Macaca mulatta: one gene and its partners. The protein of the gene in region 3 binds, or shares a complex with, the protein of the main gene of each other region. Links are inferred from orthologs where the notes say so. Each region holds a gene or a part of one and is shown on either strand. Other genes may lie near its edges. The genes, in order: INKA1, ITGB5, PAK4 and LIMK1.

Region 1 (7,273 bases), on a different chromosome or scaffold from region 3:
CAGCCATCCAGACGGTGAGCCCATGATACCCCACCCTTAGCCCCACTAGGCCTAGGTTTCCCCTGCACCTGCCCACACAGGCCCCAATCTAGCTGCCAGCTCTCACTGAGACTCAGACTGTGCAGGAGTCCTGAAGACTCCCTCCAGCCTTCTTCCTGCTATGAAGCCAGGCTGGGACCCGTCAGACACAGGAAGCAGCCGTCAGCCATCCCCACCCCCAACCCTCCAAAGCCCAGGATCTGGGGGAGCTGCAGCTTTAACTCATTAGTGGAGCCAGACATCCCCTACAGTCCCCTCCTTCCTTGGAGTACCCCTGAGGGGTAGGTGGGGGGGAGGGGACCAGGGCCTCAGCCCCAGAAAGAGTCTAGCTTCCCCCTGCATGGTACAGGGGCCCTGGCCTACCTCCTGCAAGCTGAGTTAAAGGGTAATAGGCTTGCCACTAGAGGTGTGGTGTCTGCAGCCCTGTGTTTGTGTCACAGGTGTGAGTGCACCCGGGGTCTGGGTATCCCTGGAGTGTGGGTATGGAAGGAGCAAGTTTGCACATCTGTGTGTCAGATGGGAGTGCAGGGTTTCCATCTTCCTGTGTCCTCAATGTGGGTCTGCATGGAGATACATGTGGGCACACGTGTGTGTTCCTGGGCTTGTGGGGATTTGTGTTCTTGTGACTGCAGGGCTGTGAATGCCTCCAGCCATGTGCTCAGGCTCTGCAGCTGGCATTTCCTTGGGGCAAGGATGGGGGTAGAAGGAATGCCCTCACGAGGGGAGAGGGCAGAGGTCATGGGCCAGCACTGGGCTTCTGCTCAGCAGCCTGGGGTCCCTCTGGACATAGTACACAGAGCCCCTTTGTTAAGGCACCCTGCCCCTAACCAGCACACAGGCTGCCTTTGTCCACGGAGTGGAGCAGGGCAAGGAGAAGCCCCCATCTCACCTCTAGCCTAGTCTCAGCTTGACCCCAGTGTTTTCTTGGGGGCTGATAGGCACCCCCTGTCCTTGTCTCTAGATACCTGCTAGCTGCCCTTCTGTCCTTAGCTCTAGGTACCAGAACCCCAAGACTCTTGGAAGGAAAGAGGGGACAGGAGGAGGAAGCCTGTATGCATTGTATCCCTGCTGGGGTCTCTGGGACAGTGGGGCCCTGGTGGTCACTGTGGCCTTTGCCCGTGTCCCAATGAGTAGCCCAAGGCACTGGCAATACATATAAGATTGGGGGACAGGATGTGCCCCTCAGCTCCCAGCCTTGTCTCTGAGGAACAAGCAGCTTTATCAGAGGCTGCAGGGGCCCTGCTGTGGGTTTCCTCAGGAAGCACCACCCCCTCATCCCCCACCCTCACGACTGGCCCGTGTGATGGATCGTCTGTTTCCCTGTGCGGGCCCCATAGCCCCATTTCCTGTGCTGGCCCCAGCCTGGGCGGGGAGGGGGCTGAGACTCTGGGCCCAGATCCCACCTCCCCCCCACCCTCCACCCCTTGGCTCCTGCTTCCTGCTAGTCCAGCTCTTCCCCTAGGAAAGGCTGCTGGTAACTGGGATGGGGGTTGGGGGTAGGTAAGAAGTCTCTCACTCCTCCTCTACCTCATTCCAGTTCCATCACCTGAAGTGGACCTGTTGGGACCGTCTGAAGGTACCAGCTGGGCAGCCTGAGAGGACCCTGGAGTTGCTGCTGGCTCATCTTCAGGTGTGCCCTGTCCCTACCCCAACGCCCAGGCTCAGCCCAGCCCGGCCCAGCTGGTGTCTGACCTTTCTCCCTCTAGGAGCAGCACGGGTTGAGGGTGAGGATGCTGCTGCACGGCCCAGCCCTGCTCTATTCCGCCGGATGGTCGCCTGAAAAGCAGGCCCTGCGCCTGCCCCTCAGGTGAGCCCACCTGGGGCTTTAGACAGGCCCCACCAGTCCCTGGAGGCTGGGGCTAGGGGCCACACAGCCTTCTGTCTTCCCAGCCCCATTCTGGGCTCCTCACATCTTCCCAAGCATTCTTTTGCCAAATGGAGCCAGCAAAAAAGGCTGGAGGTGGGGTGAGGGCCGAGAGCCTGAGGAGGAGTCTTCAGGAGCTGCCTACTTGGCCAGCCCCATGGGCTCCCCACACGCTGCACAGCCCCCCTTTCACAGCCCACTCCCAAGGGACCCATAGCTTCCTGCCTCCTGCTTGCCTCACCAGCTGCTCCTAAAATAGTTTCAGATGTTTCCTGTCTTGAGTAGCTCTTGCTCCTGGCTTGGGCTCCTGATGGCCTGCCAGCACCCTCTCTAGTCCATGCCAGGCTGCCCACTGCCTGCCACTGCTCACCTCTCCAATCTCCCCTAAACCCCACCCCCACTAGGGTGACAGAACTGGTTCAGCAGGTGACAGGCCAGGTACTTGCTCCTGGGCTGCGGGTGTTGGTGCTGGAGCTGAGCTGTGAGGGTGAAGAGGAAGACACTGCCTTTCCACCTCTGCACTATGAGCTGTGACAAGGCAGCCACCCCATCACCTAGCTCAATGGAGCCCTGGATCCCAAGCACTGCATTGTAAGCCCACAGTAGGCACTCAATAAATGCTTGTTGAAGGAAGGCATAGTGGAGAGGATGGATGATAGAACACAGTGCACTAATGCACACAGGTGTGACATGGGCATGACAGGGACCTTCACACAGAGACAAAAAGCTCTTCAGATTTGTCTGCCTGGGCAGTGCCTCACAGGGCTGGGGCTGCCTCTTAGTGCCTCAGGGGTATGAAGCCAGGACAGTCTAGAAATAAGGCTTTTATTGTCCCAGGCTGGAGGGCAGGGTCAGAGGTAGCTGACATCATTGCAGATGATGGGCTGGCGACTACGGCAGCTCATGAGGGCTGCGAAGCGTGAGACATCCGCAGGCATTTCAGGTTCTGGGCGAGGTGGGCATGACAGCCGCTTTCCTGCCATAGCTGTCCGCCGAGCCCTGGCCAGCCGGCGCCGAAGCTGCTCGGAGAGGCCAAGCAGGAACTGAGGGGGCCGAGCATGGGCACGGTGCCCACCTCCATCACCTCCTTCACTCCCTGTCTCAGGCAGCTCCATCCAGTTGTGCACCAAGTCAGCAAAGCAATTGTCCCCCAGTACCAGGGGCTGGCGACTGCGACCCCTATTCAGTAGGGCTGCTGTCCAGTCCTCTGCTTCCAGTCCCTGCCAGTGCTCCAGGCAGGCGTCTGGGGTGGACTTGGGCCGTGGACGGTGGACAGGTGGTACACTGGCTACAGGGGCCCTGCTGGGCATGGGGAGGCCACTGACTGAGAGGCGCTGCCTACGAAGGGGCTGTGCTGAGGGTGCTGGGCGCTGGGGAACAGGTAGTTCTTCCTCTCGCCATGTGCTGCCTGACACCTCCGAGAAGCCAGAGTCCCAGTCCAGGGCATGCTCCCTGGGGCCTCCCAAGGCTGCACCCCTGTCTTCTGTCACCACTGCCTCTTCTTCCTCCTCCTCCACACAGCAGACTGAGTCTTCTTCCAAAGCACCTGAGGCCCTAAGCTGGTGGCGGGGCTGCACATCTGGGCCAGTTTGGGGGGTTGGCTGCAGGGGACCAGGCATCGGGGGTGAGCCTGTGTCCCGACCACACAACTGAGGGGAAGAGAGGGCAGAAGTCAGAGAGGTATCACTTGTCACCAGGTCAGCCCAGAGTACAGAGGGTCCAGGAGGGTTAGATAGGCCTGCTGGCCTGGGCAGCAGGGTGCTAGTGAGCACAGGGCAGGCATGGGGTGCTGGCACTCGAAGCTGGTGTGGTTCTCATTCACCGACCTGGTGGCAGTCCGGCAGGCTGCAGCACGCAGGGCTGGGCAAGTCGACACCCGCCACCAGGGCGGGCGGGCGGGCAGGCAGTGTTGTGGGCCTGAGCAGGGAAGTAGGTCCTGCCCAGGACTGGAGGGGGATTCAGCTCCCAAAGCCCAAAGCGTTTTTCACAGAAAGAGCGCTTGCTAGGTGAGGGGTGGAGAAGGGAGGCATAGGCCAGCCTGAAGTACGGGGCGTTCACCGCAGTGCTAGCACCTCGTTAGTCCCTTGCCGCCCCATGCCCCACCCCCAAAGAAGTTCCCCTTCCACTCTCTCCTCCCGCGCCGTTCCAGCAGCACGGCCAGCTGGATGCTGTTATCTGATGCTCAGCGCAGTTCCCAACCCTCCGAAATCCGACGCGGACCATCTGAGCCATATGAGCCGCGCCGCCCCCACCCCGCGCCGCCCCCATCCCGCCTCGGACGGGCACGCTGCAGCCACCCCGCACCCGTCTGCTGTTCCGGCCGGGCAGCAGCCTGGCACCCCGCACGCGTCCTCCCTAACCGCACCCGCTCCCGAGCCTCACCAGTTCCCAGCGGAGCTGGCTGAGGAAGCTGTCAAGCCGAGCGCTGTGCATGTCCGTGCCGGGGCCCCAACTGAGCCTGCTGGCTCCTCTGGGAACCCCGGCGGAGCCGCGCGGAGAGGGCTGGGCGGGCCGGCCAGCGGCGCCCTCAGCCTCCGCCTGGCTGCGCGGCTCCTCGCTCTCCGTAGCTCCCGCCGCCGCCGCCCCGACATCTGGCAGCCGCGCCCCGCCCCGGCCCCACGGCCAAAGGGGGAGGGGCTAAAACCCGGCGTCCCTCCGGACTCCGCCGCCGTTCTTGGGGGAAGGGCGGGGTCGTAGCTGGAAGCCGGACGGGGTCGGGCCCGGGATACCCAAGCCCCCAGATGGTTGTGTGGACCCTGCATTTGCTGCGTGACGCAGGACAGGTCGCCTCCGTGCGGGGGCCTCATCCTCCCCATTTGTTCAATGGTGAAATAGCGGTCCCTCTAACGGGGCGTCATGCTGCGCCCGCACATAGGCAGAGCGCCCCGTATGGTCGGACCCAGAGAGGTTGTGGCCCACTCGGGGCCTGACCCACGGGACCCATTCCTGAGGCTGGCCTCGGCACTCCCTGAACAGGATGGAAGTGGGGTTCGGCCTGAGGACTCAGAGAGGGTGGGACTTTGTGGCAGCGCACTGGCGGGGCCTCAGCCGCGTTCCAACCGAGCTAGACGGGACTGCCCTCTAGTGGGGAGTGCTCGGCTAGTCGCGAGTCCAGCGGCGACCCGCGACCATCGGCATGCCCTCTGCCGGTACCAGGTGCAGACTGAGGGTGGGTGCTGGGGTGAGCCTGTCTCCTGAGGTTGCTCTATCAAACAGGCTAGGCTCAAGAGTAGTGTAGCTGCAGACAGACTGGACATACCAGCTACAGGAAAATACCAGGGAATGAGGGCCATGGGCTAGCCTGGGGAAGGGCAATCTCAGAGGAGGTGACATCAGGATGCAATCAAGAGGAGGGGCATTCTAGGCAGAAGGAGCAGCCAGGGAAAAGACCCCGAGGGACAGGAGCTGGACAGGGCCAAACATAAAGAAGGCCCAGGTGTCTGTGATTGGTGGTGGCGGCAGAAGGGAAAAGGTCAGCAAAACCAGGCTCTAACGGCCTTAGAGCAGAATGTGGGTTTTGTTCTTGGTGTGATGAGGAGCAATGGGGGCCTCTGAGCAGGAATGACCTGGGCTAGCTCTTGTTTAGATAATCCCAGCTGCTTTCAGAAAAGGATTCTGCAATAAGAGTGGAAGCCCCTGCCGTCATCCAGGCAACGAAGGGGAGGGCCTAGGCCTGGGCAGGGCAGGTGCACTGAAGGGGGGTCACTTTGGGGTATGCTTTGGAGCTAAAATCAAGTCTTGCTGATGCATGGATGTGGGCAGGAAAAGAGGCATCAAGCATGACTCCTACATTTCTGGCATTAACAGCTGGTTGGATGAAATTGCCATAAACTGATCTGGGAAAGACTGGAGAAGAGTGGATTTGGAGAGGAAAATCCAATGATCATTTATGGACATGTAATCCTTGAGATGCCTGATAGACATCCAAGAGGAGTTGCAGAGTCAGCTGCTAGGTGTATGACTCTGGACTTCAGGACAGAGATCAGCACTGGAGCCTTGGATCTGGGAGGAATAGTGAGTGAAAGGATGGTATGTAAGGCCATAGGCCTGGATGAGGTGGGGTGGGAGGAAATGAGTGTAGAGGGAGACAGCAATCAGGACTGTGCCCTGGGACATTCCACGAGGTGGAGGTAGGGGAGATATGAAGCAGAACTATCAAAGAAGCTGAGCAGAAACAACCAGGAGAAATCTGAGAATGTGGGGACTCAGGAGCCAAGGGGAGCAAGCATTGAATGCTGCCGAGGCAGTGAGGGTGAAGAACAAACCACTGGATTCGGCAGTGCATAGGTCATTGGGAACCCTGACAAGGGCAGTTTTATGTAGAGAGGGACAAACCTGATTAGAGTGTGTGGAGAAGAGAGTGAGGGCTGAAGAACTGGAGACGGCAAATAAAGACAACCGTTTTTTTTTTTTTTTTTTTTTTTTTTTTGAGACAAGGCCTCACTCTGTCGCCCAGGCTGAAGTGCAGTGGCATAATCTTGGCTCACTGCAGCCTCGATCTCTTTGCTCAAGTGACCCTCCTATCTCAGCCTCTCAAGTAACTGGGACTACAGGCATGTGCCACCACACCCAGCTAATTTTTTTTTTTTTTTTTTTTTTTAAGAGACAGGGTTTCACCATGTTGTACAGGCTGGTCTCGAACTCCTGATCTCAGATGATCCTCCTGCCTTGGCCTCCCCTACAGGCATAAGCTACTGTGCCTGGCCAGAAAACTTTAAAAAATGACATACAAATACAATAAATGGACAGATCTCAGAGTTATAGCTCAATAAATGTTAAAATCTGTAGATACTTGTGCAGCTGCCACCCAGATAAAGGTATAGAACATCCTCAGCAACTCCTGGATGCCATCTGGTGCCCTATCCAATTGATATTCCCAACGGTAACCAGTATTTGTATTTCTATCATAAAGGATTCCTTTTGCTTATTGGATGTAGACAGCTTTTTTTTTTTTTTTTTTTTTGAGACAGGGTCTTGCTCTGTCACTCAGGTTGGAGTACAGTGGCATAATCATGGCTCACTGCAGCCTTGATCTCTTGGGTTCAAGCGGTCCTTTTACCTCAGCCTCCTAAGTAGCTGGGACTACAGGCCTGGATCACCACACCCAACTAATTTTTTGTAAAGATGGGGTCTCACTTTGTTGCCCAGGCTGATATCGAACTCCCGAGCTCAAGTGATCCTCTCACCTCAGCCTCCCAAAGTGCTGGGATTACAGATGTGAGCCACCACACCCAGCAAGTTTTCAAAGATTTTGTTGATGGTTGGGCTCATTTTTTATAGGCAGATAATGTTCTAATAGAGGGGGTCCAGCTGGAGTTGAGACTCTGTGGGGTAGCAGGTCCTGGGCCCAATTTTCCTGGGTGCTGTGAT
Region 2 (7,038 bases), on a different chromosome or scaffold from region 3:
TATGGTTAAAAAGCCAAGGGAGTGTCTGTATGTATAAAGAGCGAATCCAATTTGAAGACACCAGACCTAGGCAAATCCAGAAAACAATCTAATGCCTCAGGAGACTATCATGGATCAAGCTGGCATGGAAAGGCTCTCATGTCATGGAACAGGAATGAAAACACCTTATCTGCTTCTTCTAATGCTAACCATATAGAACTGCTGGATAAAATGTAATTTAAAAATTTTTAATATATAGCCTAGACTGGAAGCTCAGAAAGTAAATCCCAGAAATGAAGAGGAACCCATTCAATAAATGAATGAAACTTTCAGAAGTATTTGGTTTTGGAAAAAATAAAATAAAATAAAACAAAATAAAATTTAAAAATATAAAAAAAAAAAACCCAAAAAACAAATGAATGGACTTAAAAGAATAGGTGGGGGCCGGGTGCAGTGGCTCACGCCTGTCATCTCAGCACTTTGGGAGGCTGAGGCGATTCACTTGAGGTCAGGAGTTCAAGACCAGCCTGGCCAACACAGTGAAACCCCATCTCTACTAAAAATACAAAAATTAGCTGGGCGTGGTGGCAGGCGCCTATAATCCCAGCTACTCAGGAGTCTGAGGCAGAAGAATCACTTGAACCCAGGAGGTGGAGGTTGCAGTGAGCTGAGATCGTGCCACTGCACTCCAGCCTGAGCAGCAGAGCGAGACTCAGTCTCAAAAAAAAAAAAAAAAAAAAAAGGTAGGAAATGGGTAGGCACTCATGCCAAGGACCCCTGCAATGCGTCAGGCCTTGACTGAGGCCCTGCAGGCTTGGAGCAGGGTCTACCAGGAAGAGATGCTGAGCATCACTCCTGCACAGGGCTGAACACTGGAATAGGGCTCTCTGCATAAAGCCCAACACTACAATGAGCTGCTGTGCCACTAAAACCAGAAACAGAAAAACTCCAGCTACTGGTCCGGGAAAGCGGCACGGAAGCTGACCGTCTGTCACGAATGAGATGAATTACCCATAAAAACTGTAATTCCAGGCCTGAGCAACTGGAATACACTGCCTTTATGGTGAAGACATCTCCAGTTGAAAAGTTAACAGAAAAACTAGTCCCACGGTGAACCTGGAGATTCTCGACAGCAGCAAACATAAAACTGCTCTGCAGGGATGCCCCCACAACCTCCAGTGAAGATGTACTAATGAAAAGCTTACAAATTGCATGAAAAACAATTCATGAAGGCATGTCAGCAGGTCCAATACACTGACCTGCTGTGGATCCACCTGAAGGATCCACAATTCAAGAAACAGAAACAGAATAATTTAAAATACTTTAGGTCGGGCGCGGTGGCTCACCCCTGTAATCCCAGCACTTTGGGAGGCCGAGGCAGGTAGATCGCCTGAGGTCAGGAGTTCAAGACAGCCTGGCCAACATGGTGAAACCCCATCTCTACTAAAAAATACAAAAATTAGCTGGGTATGGTGGCATGTGCCTGTAATCCCAGCTACTCGGGAGGCTGAGGCAGGAGAATCATTTGAACCCAGGAGGCACAGGATGCCGTGCTGCCTGGACTTGGGGAGACAAAGCTCAGCCTGCTCACCACGCCACAGTGTGCCCCTGCACTGCGTGTGCGCCCCAGCTCAGAGAAGAGAGCTTCACATAACTCAGGCCCGAGGTTTCCTTCCACACTCTCGTTCTTCACTGGACTTCCTGCCTTACAAGCAGCTTTTCAGTGTGCCTTGTACTCACTGTCAAGAGTTTTACTGTCTGCAACGGGTTCTGCCTTAGAGGACTGAGAGAGTAAGCTCTGAATAAGTAATGTGTCATAACTTTGAATATTTAAATGCTGTGCGCCTAGAGCCAGCCCTTGATTCTCTGCCAGCTTCCAATCTAGTGTCTCAGTCAGTGGAAGGGCCGTGGAAGAATGAAAGTGGGGACACACCCTATCTGTCTGGAGACAGGGCCCAATTAGGACAGAGGTGAAAAGAAGCAAATAAAATCACTATTCCAGATGAATTGAAAAAAGGCTTGATTAAGGCTTGCCGTTAAGATGCTGTTGCTCCTGGTAAGTAGTAAAATTTCAACAAAAAACATTTGGCACCCGGACTTAGTTGAAAAGGGCCTTGGAGATAGGATCAAAGTAATAATAGTCCCTGTGGACACCTGTCGCCAGGAGGAAGCTAAACCCAGCAAATGATGATGCCTAGTGCCTCTTCGTGGTTAAAGAATTTAGAGTTTCATTTGTATTTAAAACTTTTTCTTGTCTTACTGTTTTTCTACCAGTGTCAGTTCCCAATCCCTGGAGAAGATCTAAGTCAGCTTCTAGGAGATGTACAGAAGGATCCGGAGGGACTCAGAAGAGCCCATGCCACCAGCACACTAACTCACTCCCACCACCCAGCCCAACTTGGAGCTGGCAGCTCTGAAGGCTACCAAAGAGGACTTGTGGAGAGGGAAGGGCTCAGGGGTTTTCTCTTCCGTTGGTGGCAGCTGGAAGACCAAGAATTGAGAGTGGCATCACAAGATGGAAGGAGCTGCATCCCCGAGTTACTGCACGCAGAGCTTGCAAGGAAAGCAGCTCAGCCCTCATCAGATTTTGCACAAGAAAAAAAAAACAAAAACTTTCACTGTGTTCAGCCACTGAGATTTGGAGACTGTACATTACTGCCACATAGCCTACCATTATCCTCAGGTAAGCCTAGGAGATTGGGGTAGGGTGGTTTTGGAGCAGGTATTATTACTCAGCCTAAGGTAAAGTATCTGTGTTGTAGTGTGATTTTAATGGGGAAGAAGGCATTATATTAAATGCAAATGCAGGCCGGGTGCAGTGGCTCATGCCTGTAATCCCGACACTTTGGGAGGCCAAGGTGGGTGGATCATCTGAGGTCAGGAGTTCAAGACCAGCCTGGCCAACATGGTAAAACCCCATCTCTACTAAAAATACAAAAATCAGCCAGGTGTGGTGGCATGCACCTGTAATCCCAGCTACTCAGGAGGCTGAGGTAGAGGTTGCAGGGAGCTGAGATCGCGCTACTGCACTCCAGCTTGGGCAACAGAGTAAGACTCTGTCTCAAAAAAAAAAAAAAAAAAAAAGCAAATGCAGACTATAAAAGTAGTCTGGGCCGGGCGCGGTGGCTCAAGCCTGTAATCCCAGCACTTTGGGAGGCCGAGGCGGGCGGATCACGAGGTCAGGAGATCGAGGCCATCCTGGCTAACACGGTGAAACCCCGTCTCTACTAAAAAATACAAAAAACTAGCCGGGCGAGGTGGTGGCGCCTGTAGTCCCAGCTACTCGGGAGGCTGAGGCAGGAGAATGGCGTAAACCCGGGAGGCGGAGCTTGCAGTGAGCTGAGATCCGGCCACCGCACTCCAGCCTGGGTGACAGAGCCAGACTCCGTCTCAAAAAAATAAAAAAATAAAAATAAAAATTAAAATTAAAAAAGTAGTCTGTATTCATATTCCAGCTCTATCCCTTGCTGTTTGTATAATATTGGGTAAGTTATTCTCTCTAGGCCTCAGTGTCTGCATCTTTAACATCTGGCTTATACCTACCTTAGAAAACTCACCAGATTGTTATGAGATTTAAATGAGATAATCTATAGAAAATATTTAGTAAGGGCTTGACACTTAGTAAAAACTTAAGTCTTAGTTGTTCCCTATCTCATGACTAGTTTTGGACCTTACAACACAAACCCTCACTAAAGTTAAATACGGAGACAAGGAAAGCAAGAGTTGGAAGTTACCACTCACTGCAGTCACTTGCATAATCTTGACATTTAAAGGAACTCCTGAAAGACTAAAAAGGAAAGAAACCAATCTAGTAGAGGTTGTGTTTCATGGGCTGAAGAATGCAATCCCCTCATACAACCACCACCCCCAACATGCACACAAACACCCCATGGCAGAGACCTGCTCAATAATCCTATTTCTTCTGATTCCTGGGCATAGAGCTATACTAGTTCTCAGCCTCCTGGCTCAGTTCTGTTCCGTCTAATCACATGTGGGAGCAGGCATGGCAAAGGCCTATCCTCCTATGCATGACCCTCTAGGCAGCATGACCTTAGGAGCCATGTGTGGAAGATGGAAAGCCTGGAAGATGGAAGGCACCTAGGTCCCTGAGTCACTGCTTGCAGGAGAAGTTCCACAAATGAAGAGACCCAGCTGGACTTGAGGAGCAGGAAATAAACTTCCATCAAATTATACACCTTGTTATTATAGACTCTGTTGCAGCAGTTAGAGACACCTGTTTTCTAATAATATGTCAAATCTTTTCTAGTTCAGGTGTTTATGTTGAAAAAAAAATGCTTACCTTTAAAATAGGATTTTAGTCTAATTATGTGAAAATAAGTTATAGTTATTTATAGAAAAACAACAGGGACAAATTTTGAATTCATTTCTCCCCAGGCACCTCAGTTACTACAAGCAAGGGGAAAGTTTAAGTTGCCCTGCCTGCTGCCTCCCTGATAATCTGGATTCATCACTCCCTGAGGACATTTTCTGAGTTCTATTAATGTGAGCAAGTGGTGCTGTGCATGGCAGGCAGGATAATCAAGGGGTTGTGATCATTTTATCTTTACAACCTTGTGACAGTTCACTCACTTCTTGACAGGTCAGGAAAGGAGAGAATGTATGCCTATCGTTAATCAAATTAAACACCTAAGCCTGGCCACCCCTCCTAACCATGCCTTCCTTAATTCTTTCTTTGAGCTAAATTTTCCTGCTACTCCATTCTCCCACCCTTAAGTACCCAACAGAAGGGCAAATGGTCGCTTACCCAATGCATGGATTGGTCTGGTACCTCGGTGCCGTGTAGGAGAAAGGAGAGATGTCCTTATCGACAAAAGACCCAAATCCCAACCGGAAGTTGCTGGTGAGCTTCCTCATCTCCTCCGCGAGTTTGGTGCCCAGGTTCCGGATAGTGTCCAAGTCATCCTTCATGGACAGGGAGAGGTCCATCAGGTAGTACAGGTCCACAGGATAGTCCTCTACCTGGCGAACCTGTAGCTGGAAGGTGGTCTTGTCACCTGCACCAACAGAGAGGCCACCCGTGTTAGAGGTCATGCAACCTGCTAAGGGCTGAGGGGTGGGATTTGCTTTCAAAGCTAGTTCACCTCTTACTTTTCTTTAGTGATTGTGTGCCTCCCAGAAGATTTTTCTTGGAAGTAAAGTGCCTGAAGGGAATACGGTGCTGAGAATGGAGGCCTGGTTTCTCCTTCCCAAACACTCGGCTTAGCATTTATTTTTTTATTTTATTTTATTTTTTTAAGACAGAGTGTTGCTCTGTCACCCAGGCTGGAGTGCTGTGGGGCAATCTTGGCTCATGCAACCTCCGCCTCCCAGGTTCGAGTGATTCTCATGCCTCAACCTCCTGAGTAGCTGGGATTACAGGTACCCACCACCATGCCTGGCTAATTTTTGCATTTTTAGTAAAGACGGGGTTTCACCATGTTGACCAGGCTGGTATCAAACTCCTAGCCTCAAGTGATCCACCTACCTCAGCCTCCCAAAATGCTGGGATTACAGGTGTCAGCCACCACACTTGGCCTGGGCTTAGCATTTCTAAGGAAACTCCCTAACAGCCAGGCTCCTTGGTGGTGTTCTGTCTACTCAGCAACAAGGACCCTTGGGTAATCAGTGGACCGTGAACCAGACAATTTCATGAACACAAACTAGGTGGAGAATAGCCCACCAACCACACACCAACTCCAGAGAAAGACCCAGCCACGATGGGAATGTGTGTTTGAAACAAAAAGCAGGGAAGAAATGAACAAAAGAGCCTGAGTGGGGAAGAACCAAGCTGGGGAGAGAGATGTGCAAGGCAAGGGAGGACAGAGAAACAAAGATGGTTGTTTAAAATACCCCAATGGGCCGGGCGCAGTGGCTCAAGCCTGTAGTCCCAGCACTTTGGGAGGCCGAGACGGGCGGATCATGAGGTCAGGAGATCGAGACCATCCTGGCTAACACGGTGAAACCCCATCTCTACTAAAAAAATACAAAAAACTAGCCGGGCGAGGTGGCGGGCGCCTGTAGTCCCAGCTACTCGGGAGGCTGAGGCAGGAGAATGGCGTAAACCTGGGAGGCGGAGCTTGCAGTAAGCTGAGATCCAGCCACTGCACTCCAGCCTGGGCGGCAGAGCGAGACTCCGTCTCAAATAAATAAATAAATAAATAAAATACCCCGATGGGCAAAAATATGCATGCCTATGCCACGTCACCTGTTTTTGTTTCTATTTCCCTCACCATTTACCAGACTAGTATTTACTTTGGGGGGCATATTTGATGTTTCGGGACATCACAGGTACAACTCATTATCATCAGAAACTACAGATATAAATACAGGAAGACAGATTCCAAATTTTAGCTCTATCGAAAAAAGAAAACGAGAAGAGAAAAGATAGCACTAGATTTGTCTACCAGCTACAATAAGGTAGCCGACAGGCAGAGAAAAGCGGAATTAATTCAGAAGAAAAGAACAAAGAAAAAAGCCAGTGTCTGGCAGGTGTGGTCTTTGCTGTCTCACTCTATAGAGTTCAAAGAGAGGCTCAAGTCAGGGCAATAACTGGAAGACCCAGGCCAGGATAATGATCTTGAAATCATTTCATAATTTCTAAAAACAAATCACTTAGAACGAACTTTAAGGCTCAGTTCAACTCATATCTGCCTTGGGCTCATTAACCTTTCAGGAGTGCCAAGAGATGTCCTATTTACCCTGCAGTAGAACCATCTATACATACTTGAAATTTGGATAGATTCTTTGTGTGTTTAGAGGCACTAGAGCAAAGATGGCCTCACTCCTGCCCAGCGAGTCTACACCTGACTTGCCGGCAGCCACATCTCAGAGCAACCAGTCTTTCATCTCAAGCTGACAACCAGCAAACTGAAGACTTCTTTAACTTGTAGGGAACTCAATCCTCTATGCTCCCTCTTCTCCTCCCACCACGACAACAAGGCATATTTCACTAACTAGACCATAAAGAATCAAATAATCAAAAGATTTTAGTTCAAGTTCCAGCCCTGTCCCTTGAGCAGGAGTGCAACCTGGGCCTGAAATATAAAATGGAATATATTT
Region 3 (7,038 bases):
CCCTGGGGACGCGGCTGCAGAGACCGGAGGAGTGATCCCCATGGCCAGGCTGCTGCCCCCTGGGCTGGGTGGGACCCTGGGGAGGCACCCTTTGTTCTTCTCCTGTTCCCCACACTGGCAGAATAGTCCTGCCCTGTGGGGTTGGGGGAGGGAGGGCAGAAGCCAACCCATCCCCATCCCATAATCGGCCCCGAGGACTGCAAATGACAGGGAGCTGGGGCCTGGCCTGGCCTGGCACTTCCTCCCCTGTGGGCGCCAGTGCTCCTTAGCCCCAAAACCACACTCTGCTCCCATGAACAACAAGGGGTGGGGGACAGGGAGGGTCAGAAAGGCCTGGTCCCAAAGTACAGGGCAAGGGGGTCCCAGGAGCCGGGTGGCAAATACAAACGCAGGTGGGGACCAGGCAGAGCGTCCAGTGCGTCCCAAGTCACCCTGTCCCCACCCTCCGTGGTCTGAGTCGTGTCCTGCAGGGCCCCTCTGTCCCCGCCCCATTTCCAGGCACACGGGTGTCTCCCCACCACACCCCCGCCCAGGGCCTCTGCTGGCTGCTCTCTCTGCCCGGAACATCAGCTCTCAGGGTCACCGTGGCTCCCTCCCTCCACTCCTTCAGGTCTTCACTCAAAACTCAGCTTCTCAATGAGGCTTCCGCTGGCCACCCATCATCTAAAATGCCAGCCCCTGCCCTGCCTGCATTCTACCCAGAGCGCCTGACAGCAGCTGATATAGGGCACACAGGCATCTGTCTGCTCCCGGCTCTGCCCAGTGCAGGCTCTGGGCAGGGATGGTTTTTTCCTGTCTGCTTCAGGTCCTGCTACATCTCAGCACCTAGACCAGCATCTGGCACACAGCAGGGGCTCCGTGAACTTTTGCTAAACCGCGGAGTCAGTGAGGCGGCTGTGCAGAGGCCACGGTGAGCTGAGAACGTGGGCCCTGCTGACAGGGACCCTGCCCGGGGTTCAGATATCCTCCAGCCGGAGGCCTGCCTCTAATGTGCAGAAAACACTGACGCCACAAACCCGTGGTCTGCCGCTGCCCTGCCTCTCCTGGCCGTGGCTGTCTGCCTGAAGCCGGGCCTTGCCCAGGGGCCCCAGGAAAGCAAGGTGGACACTAGGCCAGTCTTTGCTTTTAGAACCGGGAATTGAGGCTAGGAGCGGTGGCTCACGCCTATAATCCCAGCACCTGGAGACCAAGGATCACCTGAGGTCAGGAGTTTGAGACGAGCCTGGCCAACATGGCGAAAACCCATCTCTACAGAAAAGACAAAAACTAGCTGGGCATGGTGGTGGGCAGCTGTAATCCCAGCTACTTGGGAGGAAAATCACTTGAGGCAGGAAAGTCACTTGAACCCAGGAGGTGGAGGTTGCAGCTAGCCAAGATGGCGCCATTGCACTCCAGCCGGGGAGACAGCAGGAATGTGTCTCAAAAAAAAAACAACAAAAACAAAAACAAAGAAACAAACAAAAAAACACAGGGGGTTGAGAGGGCCCTGGAAGGCCTGAGGTCCAGACAAGGGCAGCAAACACAAGCGCCCATGGGGCCCCAGGACAGTGCCGGCCACGAGGCCCTGTGTGTGAATTCAGGTGTCCTGCCTCCTGGTGGGACCGCCACAGGCAGGCCTCACATCTGGCGAGCCAGGCAGGAGCTGGGTTTTTGGAGACACCTTGATGTGGGTCAAAGCCTACATGCAACTGGCCACAGAGCCAGGCAGGGCGTGGAGCTGAGGCGGGTTGGGTGTGGCCTGCGGCCCAGAAGAGCCAGTACCCGGCCTGCAGAGGCCACTGCCACTCGGCTCCAGCTGGTCTGTCACCAGATGCCAGAAACGGCCTCGGAAGTGGTCTGTCACTTTTTCAGTGGTGGCAAAGAAGTCAAAGCATTCAAAAGCGTCCTGTGTGGGCCACATGGAACCCTCAGTGGGCCACCACACTGAGCTGCACTTGTGTCTACGGCCAACTTGTGGGCCCTTGGGGCTCCTCCCCGCCAGGCCGGGCTGGGCACCCGGAAGGGTGAGTCCCCAGGCACACCCATCTCCACCCGCTGGAAGCAAACCTGGCCGAGCTCCCCCTGGCCTGCGGCCCCTCCCGGTCCCCACTGACCACGGGAGAGAGTCCAGGCTCCAAGGCTGGCTTCTGAGGCTCAGCAGGGGCTCAGGCCAGGCCAGCCTCGTGCAAGGCCACACCCAGACACCGGCTCCACAACTCTCACCATTTCACATGGAGGCAGGAGAGGGGGTAAGGGCATGGGCCTTGGAAACAGACATTGGTTCAAATCCCAATCTTGCCATTTTGCTCTAGATGGCAGGAAAAAAAAACCCAAAATCAAAAAGCCTGTGTTTCACAGGCGTGATTTCCCCCACTAAAGCCCGGCTTCCCCAGCGCCTGCTGGAACTCCTCCTCCTCCTCCTCAGCTCTGGGCTCCGCCTTGCTGTCCCCTCCTCCCAGAAGCTCGCCTGGAGCCCTGGTCTGGGTCAGGTGCCTCCTCCGGGCTTCCCCATCCAAGCCCTGACCACTCGGGGCTGTCACCCTCTGGGAATGGGTCTGTCTCCCACTGCCACGAGCTCTGGAAAGGCTCAAGAATGTGATGGGAGTGTGGTCTGGGGCACAGCAGCATGGCCCCCGGGGTAGGGGTGGCCGGGAGACAGCAGAGCTTGGAGGCTGGTGTGGGGGCTGCCAGATGGGCCATGGGGGCTCAGGTTGGGGTGGCATGGGTTCTCAGAACTTGGAGCCAGTGGGTGGAGGGTGAAAGGCCAGCGCTGGGCCCAGGATCAGGGTTGAAGGCTGGGGTGTGTCTGTTTCCATGTCAGTGAGGAGGTGTCAGTCATAGGGTCGAGTGTGGGGTTGAGGGCTGGGGTCACTCAGGGGTGGGGGTGGGCTGGGGGAGGTAGTGGTGGCTGCCGCATACCTTGGGGGCCCCGGGCTGGATGGAGGTGATGCAGGCGGGGTCGATGAGGGGCTTTGGCCGGCGAGCCGACTCCTCGATCAGGCTCTGCCACTGGCGGGGCAGCCCCGTGAACTTCTGCTCATGCTGGTCGAAGCCCGTGTGCACGCGGTGCTCGAAGTTGGACGGCGCGGAGATCTCCACCCGCTTCTTCCTCTTCCCAAACATGATTCCGGGCGGCTCGGTGCGGCCTGCGGGAGGGAATCGTGGTGGGTGGGTGAGAGCCTGCCTGTGTCTCTTCCTCCTCTGCCCCTGCCCTGTCCCTTCCAATCTCATCTTCCACCGGAACCAACAGGAGGCAGGTGCCTCCTTCGGGGTCTCCCTGCTCAGCCCCTGCCCCCATCTGTGTGGCACACGCAGCCAGAGGGCACCCGTGAGCACCTGAGCCGCCATGTCCCTCTGCTCAGAACTTTCCTGCCGCTATGTCTCCCGCGGGCCCACAAGCCCCCATCACCTCTCTGTTCTCACCCCCTGGATATCTCAGGGCCTTTGCACAGGCTGGCCCCCCTGCCAGGAGCTCACTTCCAGTGTCCGCACGGGCTCCCCGTCTCCTCCTTCAGTTCTCAGAGCAGCAGTGACTCTTTCCCTGACCACCCCAAGGCAAGCAGCCTCGTGTCCCGCCGTCCCCGCTCTACATCACCGTCACAGCCCAGAAATCCTGTCTGTTGTTCCGTCTTAGGTTGCCGAGGGCAGCATCCACACCACTCGCTAGAATGTCAGTGCTGCCTTCTGGCCAGGTCTCATCTGCCCCGCTTCCCCACATCCCCCGCTATGCCTGGTACACGGTGTGTACTCAATGGACGGTCACTGCTGGCCTGGCCACAGCCACCGCCGCTGGTCCAGCCCTGAGTCTGGGCTGGGGACGCACACACCGTTGGATATTGACTCAGCACAGGGTTACTGAGCCCCTGGGGTAAGAGGGCACCCAGGTAGCCTTGCCACGACACTCCCCTATCTTCAGGATCTGTGGTCTTCAGTCCGGCCCTTGCCATAGTACCAAGCACAGAGCAAACGCTCGACCAAAGCCACTTTAAAAAACAAAGGGGCTGAGGCGGAGACATGCTGATGGCGGCATCTCATAGACAGCCCGGAGAAAGATGGGAAGAGGAGCCAGGCGGCCAGAGTTTGACTCTCCACCACATGCTGCCGTGACCTTGGGCAAGTGACAACCTCTGTGTGCCGTGGATGAACCCCCACAGGGCTGCTGCGAGGGGCCATGGGTGACTGGGAGCCAAGAGCTTGGTGCAGGGCTGGGCAAACGCGGGGGGCCTGTCGGTGGGGGCCACTGTGATGGCCGGGGCGGCTCCCACAGTGTCTCTGGGAGGAGGGGCCCAATTCCTGCTCCCCCGGAAGGCCCCACCCCAGCTGTCCCAGGCCTGGGCCCTGGAGTTGCACACACCTGGTCTGATGCTGGTGGGACAGAAGTGCCCTCAGGCGGGTGACCACTCCTCTAGAGGCTTCGGGTTACTCATCTGTAAAATGAGAGGAATGCATCCGTTCACTCATTCTCTCATTCACTCATTCACTCATTCACTGAGGAATAACTCAGCAATGGGCCTCCTCTGCGGCCACCGCAGCGGCCCGGACAGCCTCTGACCTCATGGGAAGTTCGTGTGGGGCAGACAGACCTGTCCCCGCGCAGCAGCAGCCCAGGTGCAGGGCTGGGGGACGGGAGCACGGGACCCAGCCTGGAAGGACAGTGGGGTGGGCAGTAGGGAGGCTTCCCGGAAGAGGGGAACAGTTGAGACCAGAGGACGGGGGGACACACAGGTGGAGTTTCTCTTCTGTCTTGTTCCCAGCTGGCTCCCCAGAGCCTGGCACAGTGCGCAGCCCAGAGAGTCCTGTGGTCCTAGTGAGAGGACAGAGGATCCGCAGATGCATGCGGCCCCTCCACACCTGCTTCTCCGCCCAGCTCAGGCTGCCTTCATGGGAGCAGCCAGGAAAGGTGAGGCCCTGGCCAGAGCTAGGACCATCGATGGGAGCCAGCCAGGGGAACCGGTTTGGCAGCGGGAACCCCGTGGGAGGCGGGTGGGGACCCGGCAGTCAACCTGTCTCAACTGGTCCCAAGAGGCCAGCGGGTGGTCAGAGCCGGCCTGGCCAAGGCTCCTAGGGTTGGCCCAGTTTCCCTGCTTGCCCTGGGGCCCAGGATGCAGGGCGGGCAGGGGGCCTCCTTTGTGTCTGCCCAGCCCCTTCTCCGAGCCCAATGCTGGTGCCCTGAGTGCTGCCCAGCCCTCCCTCGTGGCCTTCCAGCCCGGCCCATCCCTGGTGGCCCTGACCTACTCTCTCGCTGCTTTCTAGGCCCAGTTCCTAGGGTCATCCACATACCCCAACAGTCCCCATCTCCCCACTCTGCCTGCTGTCACTCCAGAGCTGTGTCCCATGTCCTCTGGCTTCTCTATCCTCCCAGATGTCCCTCCACCCCCTTTGGCCCCATGCCCAGCCCGTGACTCTTCATCGTGAACCTGTCACCCCGCCCATCCCGCTCCCTCCCCACTGCGGGGCACTAGGCTGTTCCCACAGTCACAGGAACAGGATCAGCCATGTGACCCTCACTAAGCCCAGAGGGCGGAGAGCAGGGCAGACCCGGAGGTGGCGGACGCCTGGGGACAGGGCAGGAGAAGCCTGGAAGGCCGGCAGCTGACCCAGCTAGCAGCACGGGGTCTGGGGTATGTCCTCCGAAGCCTGGCCTCCTGCCCTCCCACCCATAAACCCCCAAGGGAAGGGGGCAGGGGGCACGCCTCCGGATATTTGCCTGGGGCCACCCCTTTCCTCTGGGCACTGCAAAGAGGGCAGGACAAACAGAGGAACTGAACATGTTTATAATGACTAGGCAGGGGCCCCACCCTGGGCCCTCCTGGGCAGCTCCAAGCCCTGCTGGCTTCCCCAGCAGGCGCTCCCTTCCCAACATAAGCTCCTGATCTCGCGGGGGCCACAGAGGCCGTGCCAGGCCTGGGAAGAGGGAGAAGAGCTAGGCAGAAAGGCTGGGCTTGCCCAGGTGCAGGGAAGGAAGGGTGGGGGCTGGGCTCCCGGGCCAGCTCCGAGCTTGGCAGTCAGGCTGCCCAGGGCTCCAAACCCCAGCAGGGCTGCTATGACCTGCCCTGTGTGACTTCACTTTCTGTGTCTGTGAATTGGGGATCTAACCCAACCTGGGGACCTCAATATGTGGTCCCGAGTGAGCAACTCAGCCATGCTGTGCCTCAGTTTCCTCCTCTGTTCAAAGATGGCGATGACAGTAGCTGCTTCCTGGAGTATTTATTTATTTTTTTTTTAAATGGAGTCTCGCTCTGTTGCCCAGGCTGGAGTGCAGTGGCGTGATCTCAGCTCACTGCAACCTCTGCCTCCCGGGTTCACGCAATTCTCCTGCCTCAGCCTCCCGAGTAGCTGAGATTAACAGTTGCCTGCCAGCACGCCCAGCTAATTTTTGTACTTTTAGTAGAGATGGGGTTTCACCATGTTGGCCAGGCTGGTCTCGAACTCCTGACGTCTAGTGATCTGCCCTCCTCGGCATCCCAAAGTGCTGGGATTACAGGGGTGAGCCCCCGCGCCTGGCCTTACTGGAGTTTTTACAAGGAATTACGGAGAACACAGAGCACGGAGGGCCTGGCCCAGAGACAGCGGTTGGGATCAGAGCCAAGGCAAATCACACACAATAAGTGCCGGTCACCATTCCAGTAGCAGCCAGTACTTACGGAGTAGCTACTGTGTACCAGCCCTCTTCCAGGCACTTTACCTGGGTCCCACATCTGGCCCTGGAGGGAGGGGCCATTATAAGCCCCAGATTACAAACAGGGAAAACAAGGCACAGAGGGGGACCTCATTAACCCAAGTGACCCAGCTAGGGTGGCAGAGTGGACACCAGACTCCAGGCCTGTCTGCAGAGATTCACGGGTTCCGGCCCTGCTGTGTCTAATCCCGCTCCATCCTCACAAGCATCCTCATCCCAATTCACAAATGGGGAAACTGAGGCCCAGAGAAGGGAAGGCCCTTGTCCAGGGCATGGACAGGAGAAGCAGCCAGTGAGAAGCAGCCAGGATTTGAACCTGGGCGGTTGTATGTGGAAGGCACTGAAGGCTGGGCTCTTACCTGCCTGTCCTGCTGCCCTGG
Region 4 (6,668 bases), on a different chromosome or scaffold from region 3:
GCGCTGGGATTATAGGTGTGAGCCATCATGTGCAGCCCATCTTCTCGATAGGACCCTTTAGTTTTGTTTTGTTTAAGATGGAGTTTCGCTCTTGTTGCCCAGGCTGAAGTGCAATGGTGCGATCTCAGCTCACTGCAACTTCCTCCTTCCAGGTTCAAGCGATTCTCCTACCTCAGCCTCCCGAGTAGCTGGGATTACAGGCATGCACCACAGCACCTGGCTAATTTTTAAAAAATTTTTAGTAGAGACAGGGTTTCTCTATGTTGGTCAAGCTGGTCTTGAACCCCTGACCTCAGATGATCCGCCCACCTCGGCCTCCCAAAGTGTTGGGATTACAGGCGTGAACCACCGTGCCTGGCCAGGGCTCTTTAGTTTTACAAGAAAACATTAAGTACGAAAGCAGTACCTCCTGAATATGCGCGGCCCTCCAAAACCCAGCTTTTGAAGAATCTTCACTTGGCCCGCCTGTGAAGCTCCACCTAAAACTGAGCTGTGCTCTCTTCCCCCCTCCATACCTGCTTTTTTTTTTTTTTTTTTTTGAGACAGGATCTTGTTTTGTTGCCCAGGCTGGAGTGCAGTGGTGTAAACATGGCTCACTGCAGCCTTGATCTCTTGGACTCAAATGATCCTCCCACCTCAGCCTCCTGAATAGCTGAGACTATAGGTGCATGCTACCATGCCCAACTAATTATTATTATTTTTTGAGATGGAGTTTCACTTTTGTTGCCCAGGCTGGGGTGCAATGATGCGATCTTGGCGCACTGCAACCTCTGCCTCCTGGGTTCAAGCAATTCTCCTGCCTCAGCTTCCCAAGTAGCTGGGATTTCAGGCATGTGCCACCGCACCTGGCTAATTTTGTATTGTTAGCAGAGATGGGGTTTCATTATGTTGGCCAGGCTGGTCTCAAACTCCTGACCTCAGGTGATCCTCCTGCCTCGGCCTCCCAGAGTGCTGGGATTACAGGCGTGAGCCACTGTGTCTGGCTTGCCCAATTATTATTATTACTATTTTTTTGAAGACAAAGTCTCACTCTGTTGCCCAGGCTGGAGTGCAATGGCACCATCTTTGCTCACTGCAACCTCTGCCTTTTGTGTTCAAGCGATTCTCCTGTCTGTCTCCCAAGTAGCTAGGACTACAGCCATGTGCTACCACGCCCAGCTAATTTTTGTACATATATATGTGTGTGTGTGTATATATATATATATATACACACACTTTTTTTTTTTTTTGAGACAGAGTCTCACTCTGCCGCCCAGGCTGGAGTACAGTGGCGCGATCTCCGCTCACTGTAAGCTCTGCCTCCCAGGTTCACGCCATTCTCCTGCCTCAGCCTCCAGAGTAGCTGGGACTACAGGTATCTGCCATCATGCCCGGCTAATTTTTTTGTACTTTGTTTAGTAGAGACAGGGTTTCACCATGTTAGCCAGGCTGGTCTCGAACTCCTGACCTCGTGATCCACCCGCCTCGGCCTCCCAAAGTGCTGGGATTACAGGCGTGAGCCACCGAGCCCGGCCTAATTGTATTTTTAGTAGAGACGAGTTTTCACCACGTTGACCAAGCTGGTCTCAAACTCCTGACTTCAGCTGATCCACCTGCCTCGGCCTCCCAAAGTGCTGGGATTACAGGCGTGAGCCACCACACCTGGCCCCTGCCCAACTAATTTAAAAAAATTTTTTGTAGAGACAGGATCTCACTATGTTGTCCAGACTGGTCTTGAACTCCTGGGCGTAAGGGATCGTCCTGTCTCAGCCTCCTGGAGTGCTGGGATTACAGGCATGAGCCACCAAACACATCCTTGTCTTCTCATCAGGGAAGACTAACTCCTCTTATCTTGACTGTTTCCCCAGGGCCCCAGACACACATCGCCACGCAGGACCTGGGTGGGGAGTACGGAATTTATTTTATTGTTCTGCGTCTGGGTTTGGTTCCTTGGACGTCACGGTTCCTGGATGGGGGTGGGTGGGTCCCACCTCCCTAAGTCATGGTCCCACGGGCCTGTCGGGATTGTTTTCCAGGTTCAAAGTGCACTGAGAAAGCTTCACAGTTTTAATACTTCTAGATGCTCAACTGAGGCAAAGTGACAAAATGGCCCTCCCACCCCCGCCCGCCACAAAAATAAAACCCCAAGCCCCTGGCAGCTGCTGCTGCAGCCGTATGAAAAAATAATACAAACTCTTCTTAAAAAATAGATTACACAGAGAAAACGCAGAGGACAGAGGGGCATGAGGAGGGGCAGGGAGCCTCGGGGTAGAGGCCCGGGAAGGGGCTCTGAGATGACTGCAGGGGTTGAGCTGCTGGTGGACACCTGCCCCGTCCACTGTGCCTATCCTCTCGCTGCCCGAGCCGGCTCCTGCCCATCAGCTCTGGCCCAGGCACTGCAGCTCCCTCAATGGACCCCCTTCACCCTGAGGCTTGGTACCTGCTTCTCACTAAAGTGGCTTTGAGAAAGAAACAAAAAAGACCCAAAAAAGACCCAAAGCGGGAGAAGGGGCTGTTTGCTCAGCCATCGGGGACCTCCACCCCATGGGATCAGCCCTCTCTCTGCTTTGGGGGTTTGGAGAGTCCTCGATACCTGTTGCTACCTAGACACCCCCTGGGGGGAAAACGGGCCCCAGACTCCCCGTTTGGTTCCTGGGAACACAGACACCTGGGAACTTGGCCTCTGCCCTGACGTGCGCCCGCCCATGCACCCAAGCATTACATGGGGCATGGTTCAGAGGCTGCCTCCTGGCCCAGCCTCCAGGGAGCTACGGACCAGACAGGTGGAGCGTGCACAGGGTGGCTGGGGCAGCAGCCTGTGGAAAGGGGCACAGCTCACACACGCCCTCCAGCTCATGCAAGGAGAAGCGAGAGGGGACAGCCCTGCCAAGACAGAGGTTACAGCAGGGCGAGGGCATGGTGTGTGTGTGCAGCTTGGCCGGTTCCGGGCCACGGCAGAGAGAAGGCAGGGGAAGCGGTCCACGGGGTGGGAGAAGGCAAGTCAGGACCTGGCTCTGAGGAGAAGCCTGGGCCCCCACTGTCCCAGTTGAGGGCCACCTCCCGTGGAGGAATCTGGTGGGGGTGGATTCCCTGGAGGTGGGGACAGGGGCGGCTGAGTGGCCCTGGCTCAGTCGGGGACCTCAGGGTGGGCAGGCAGTCCGCTCTCGCCGCGCCGGTAGGTCTCCCAGAAACCCCTGTCCAGCTGCTCCAGCTGCGGGCCCAGTGGCAGGTGGCCGGCCAGGTGCATGCGGAGGGTCTCCAGCCAGTGTTCCAGCTTCACGAAGGACGGCCTGGGTGACAGGCGGGTGGGGAAAGGTGGGTCTGGCTCTCCCAGGAATTGGCCCCGCCGTCCCCCAGGCCAGGGCCCCACCCCACTCACCTCTTCTCGGGGTCCAGATCGCAACAGCGCACGGTGATGGGGAAGAAGCTCGGGGGGCAGTTTGCAGGGCAGTAGCGGTCCAGGAAGCCTCGTACGTTGAGGCCAAAGTCCATGGTGCGGGGCAGGTAGTCGGGGTCTGCGTTCACCCGCCCGATGATCTGTCCAGCACAAGGCCCAGCAGTTACTCCAGGGGGGCCCTCAGCCTGGGCGTCTGGGTGCCATCCAGGTGGCTTGAGGGCAGGTGGCACCAGGCCTGGCTGCAGCCTGACTGCGGTACCTCATGGGGGCCAGCCCATGCCTTGCTGTGGGCAGCCTTCCTGGCCTGAAGCCCCTGCAGATGCTGAGCCTGCAGCCTGGGTGAGTGGGGAGGAGCCCAGGCTTCAACACCCCTGGACCTACCTCGCACAGGACGATCCCAAAGGAGAACACATCCACCTTCTCATCATAGCTGCGGCCTGGACAAAGAGACCGACTGTCAACAGATGAACACATGGGGGTGCCAGGGATGCCAAAAGGCAGGGGACCGGGCCAGCTGGGAGGATGCCCCGGTCGGGAGGTCCAGGCCCAGGAGGCAGATGCCGGCAACCTCCTTGGGAACCCAGGCTTAGGCTCTTTCCCCCAACCCCACCAGGTCTGAGCAAGCCTTTGGGAGCTCTGAGGAGCAAGGGGCAGAGGCCTGGACAAGGAGTTCTAGGCACCGATCAGCTGCGTGACTTTGGGCAGGTCATGAACTCTGTGCTGGTCCTAAAAGGCAACCATGTCAGGTCTCTGGAATCCGTGAATGTTACTGGATCAGAAAAAGGGTCTTTTGCAGATGGGATTAAGTTAAGGATCTGGAGATGAGATGATGCTGGATGATCTGGATGGGCCCCAAATGCCACTGCAAATGCCCTCTTGAGAGAGATACAGAGAAGACACAGCAGAAGAGGAAGAGGTGGCCCTGTGAAGACGGGGGTAGAGACTGGAATGATGCGGCCACAAGCCCAGGAATACAAAACCACCAGAAAGTGGAAGAAGCAAGGAATGCATTCTCCCCTAGATCCCCCTGGAGGGAGTGCAGCCCTGTTGGATTTCAACCTTCTGGCTTCCAAAACTATGAGGGAATACATTTCTGCTGTTTATTTATTTATTTTTTTTGAGATGGAGTCTGGCTCTGTCGCCCAGGCTGGAGTGCAGTGGCCAGATCTCAGCTCACTGCAAGCTCCGCCTCCTGGGTTTACGCCATTCTCCTGTCTCAGCCTCCCGAGTAGCTGGGACTACAGGCGCCCGCCACCTCGCCCGGCTAGTTTTTTGTATTTTTAGTAGAGACGGGGTTTCACCGTATTAGCCAGGATGGTCTCGATCTCCTGACCTTGTGATCCGCCCGTCTCGGCCTCCCAAAGTGCTGGGATTACAGGCTGGAGCCACCGCGCCTGGCCTCTGCTGTTTATTTTATTTTGAGATGTAGTCTTGCTTTGTCGCCCAAGCTAGAGTGCAGTGGCATGATTGTGGCTCACTGCAACCTCGGCCTCCTGGGTTCAAGCGATTCTCCTGCCTCAATTTCCCGAGTAGCTGGGATTACAGGTGTCTGCCACCACGCCCGGCTAATTTCTGTATTTTTAGTAGAGGTGGCATTTCACCATGTTGGCCAGGCTGGTCTCGAACTCCTGACCTCAAGTGATCCACCTGCCTCGGCCTCCCAAAGTGCTGGGATCACAGGTGTGAGTCACCATGCCTGACCATTTTCTGCTGTTTTAAATAATCAAGTTTCTAACAATTTATTACAGCAGCCTCAGGGAACTGACATGGACTCTCTGAGCCTGTTTCCTTATCTGTAAAATGGGAATGATACCAGTTGCTTAATGATGTTAAAAACAATTGGTACATGGCCGGGTGCAGTGGCTCACACCTGTAATCCCAGCACTTTGGGAGGCTGCGGCGGGCGGATCACCTGAGGTCAGGAGTTTGAGACCAGCCTGGCCAACATGGTGAAACCCCATCTCTACTAAAAACACAACAATTAGCCAGGCATGGTGGCAGGTGCCTGTAATGTCAGGTACTTAGGAAACTGAGGCAGGAGAATCACTTGAACCCGGGAGGTGGAGGTTGCAGTGAGCTGAGATCACATCGCTGTACTCCAGCCTGGGCAACATAGCAAGGCTCCATCTCAAAAACAAAAAACGAAATACCCAAAACAATTAGTACTGAATACCAACTCTCATTTACTGAATGCCAACTAGGTGGAAATGAGTTTACAACCTTTAATCCTCACACCAATCCCTACAGATAGGAAACACTAAGACTGTTTTGTTTTTTTGAGAGAGTCTTACTTTGTTGCCCAGGCTGGAGTGCAATGGCACGATCTCGGCTCACTGCAATCTCTGCCTCCTGGGTTCAAGCAATTCTCCTGCCTCAGCCTCCAGAGTAGCTGGGATTACAGGCGCCCGCCACTATGCCCAGCTAATTTTTGTATTTTTAGTAGAGATGGGGTTTCACCGTGTTGGCCAGGCTGGTCTCAAACTCCTGACCTCGTGATCTGCCTGCTGCGGCCTCCCAGAGTGCTGGGATTACAAGCGTGAGCCACTGTGCCTGGGAACTAAGACTGTTTTATAGTCTTCTTTGGGGGCTATGTTAACTATGTTTGTGTGTGTGTGTGTGTGTGTGTGTGTGTGTTTTTGAGACAGAGTCCCACTCTGCCATCAGGCTGGAGTACGGTGGCGCGATCTTGAATCACTGCAACCTCCACCTGCCGGGTTCAAGCAATTCTCCTTCCTCAGCCTCCCGGGTAGCTGGGACTATAGATGTGTGCCACCATGCCCAGCTAATGTTTTTTGTATTTTTAGTAGAGATGAGGTTTCACCATGTTGGCCAGGATGGTATCGATCTCTTGACCTCGTGATCCGCCCACCTTGGCCTCCTAAAGTGCTGGGATTACAGGTGGGGTTGTTTTTTTTTTTTTGAGACAGTCTTGCTCTGTCACCCAGGTTAGAGTGCAGTGGTGCAATCTTGGCCCAATGTAACCTCTGCTCCTGGGTTCAAGTGATTCTCCTGCCTCAGCTTCCCAAGTAGCTGGGATTACAGGCATGAGCCACCACACCTGGCTAATTTTTGTATTTTTAGTAGAGATGAGGTTTTTTTTTTTTTTTTTTTTTTTGAGACGGAGTCTTGCTCTGTCGCCCAGGCTGGGGTGCAGTGGCCGGATCTCAGCTCACTGCAAGCTCCACCTCCCGGGTTTACGCCATTCTCCTGCCTCAGCCTCCTGAGTAGCTGGGACTACAGGCGCCCGCCACCTCGCCCGGCTAGTTTTTTGTATTTTTTAGTAGAGATGGGG

What was found.
Region 1: the proteins of PAK4 (region 3) and INKA1 are in contact, whole or in part, in a crystal structure (PDB 4XBU), measured with the Homo sapiens proteins. The link is inferred for Macaca mulatta from reciprocal best matches to the Homo sapiens genes PAK4 and INKA1. Residues at the interface, in NP_001014831.1 of Homo sapiens: Ser331, Gln358, Arg359, Glu361, Leu362, Thr404, Asp440, Lys442, Ser443, Asp444, Phe461, Leu475, Val476, Gly477, Thr478, Pro479, Tyr480, Trp481, Met482, Arg489, Glu507, Glu512, Phe516, Asn517, Glu518, Pro519, Pro520, Met524; in NP_976248.2 of Homo sapiens: Gly178, Arg179, Ser180, Arg181, Gln182, Pro183, Leu184, Val185, Leu186, Gly187, Asp188, Asn189, Cys190.
Region 2: the proteins of PAK4 (region 3) and ITGB5 are in contact, whole or in part, in a crystal structure (PDB 7S46), measured with the Homo sapiens proteins. The link is inferred for Macaca mulatta from reciprocal best matches to the Homo sapiens genes PAK4 and ITGB5. Residues at the interface, in NP_001014831.1 of Homo sapiens: Gly330, Ser331, Gln358, Arg359, Leu362, Thr404, Lys442, Ser443, Asp444, Asp458, Phe461, Leu475, Val476, Gly477, Thr478, Pro479, Tyr480, Trp481, Met482, Glu507, Glu512, Phe516, Asn517, Glu518, Pro519, Pro520, Met524; in NP_002204.2 of Homo sapiens: Ser762, Arg763, Ala764, Arg765, Tyr766, Glu767, Met768, Ala769, Ser770.
Region 4: the proteins of PAK4 (region 3) and LIMK1 are in contact, whole or in part, in a crystal structure (PDB 6WLY), measured with the Homo sapiens proteins. The link is inferred for Macaca mulatta from reciprocal best matches to the Homo sapiens genes PAK4 and LIMK1. Residues at the interface, in NP_001014831.1 of Homo sapiens: Glu329, Gly330, Ser331, Gln358, Arg359, Leu362, Thr404, Asp440, Lys442, Ser443, Asp444, Phe461, Leu475, Val476, Gly477, Thr478, Pro479, Tyr480, Trp481, Met482, Glu507, Phe516, Pro520; in NP_002305.1 of Homo sapiens: Lys505, Arg506, Tyr507, Thr508, Val509, Val510, Gly511.

The regions. Positions count from the first base shown.
Region 1 is NC_133407.1:113,275,905-113,283,177, reverse strand, and holds INKA1 (PAK4-inhibitor INKA1), read right to left. Parts: upstream 4,539-7,273; 5' UTR 4,512-4,538; intron 4,467-4,511; exon of another isoform or gene 4,444-4,466; 5' UTR 4,337-4,443; coding exon 4,286-4,336; intron 3,553-4,285; coding exon 2,755-3,552; 3' UTR 2,712-2,754; downstream 1-2,711. Other genes in the region: UBA7 (ubiquitin-like modifier-activating enzyme 7), read left to right, coding at 1-14, 1,577-1,669, 1,746-1,846, 2,308-2,437. UniProt on the Homo sapiens protein: Inhibitor of the serine/threonine-protein kinase PAK4. Acts by binding PAK4 in a substrate-like manner, inhibiting the protein kinase activity.
Region 2 is NC_133407.1:158,910,002-158,917,039, reverse strand, and holds part of ITGB5 (integrin beta-5 precursor), read right to left. Parts: intron 4,995-7,038; coding exon 4,745-4,994; intron 1-4,744.
Region 3 is NC_133424.1:50,256,234-50,263,271, reverse strand, and holds part of PAK4 (serine/threonine-protein kinase PAK 4), read right to left. Parts: intron 5,339-7,038; exon of another isoform or gene 5,260-5,338; intron 4,407-5,259; 5' UTR 4,334-4,406; intron 3,126-4,333; 5' UTR 3,103-3,125; coding exon 2,899-3,102; intron 1-2,898. UniProt on the Homo sapiens protein: Serine/threonine-protein kinase that plays a role in a variety of different signaling pathways including cytoskeleton regulation, cell adhesion turnover, cell migration, growth, proliferation or cell survival.
Region 4 is NC_133408.1:51,624,253-51,630,920, reverse strand, and holds the end of LIMK1 (LIM domain kinase 1), read right to left. Parts: intron 3,814-6,668; coding exon 3,758-3,813; intron 3,517-3,757; coding exon 3,359-3,516; intron 3,270-3,358; coding exon 3,107-3,269; 3' UTR 1,878-3,106; downstream 1-1,877. UniProt on the Homo sapiens protein: Serine/threonine-protein kinase that plays an essential role in the regulation of actin filament dynamics. Acts downstream of several Rho family GTPase signal transduction pathways.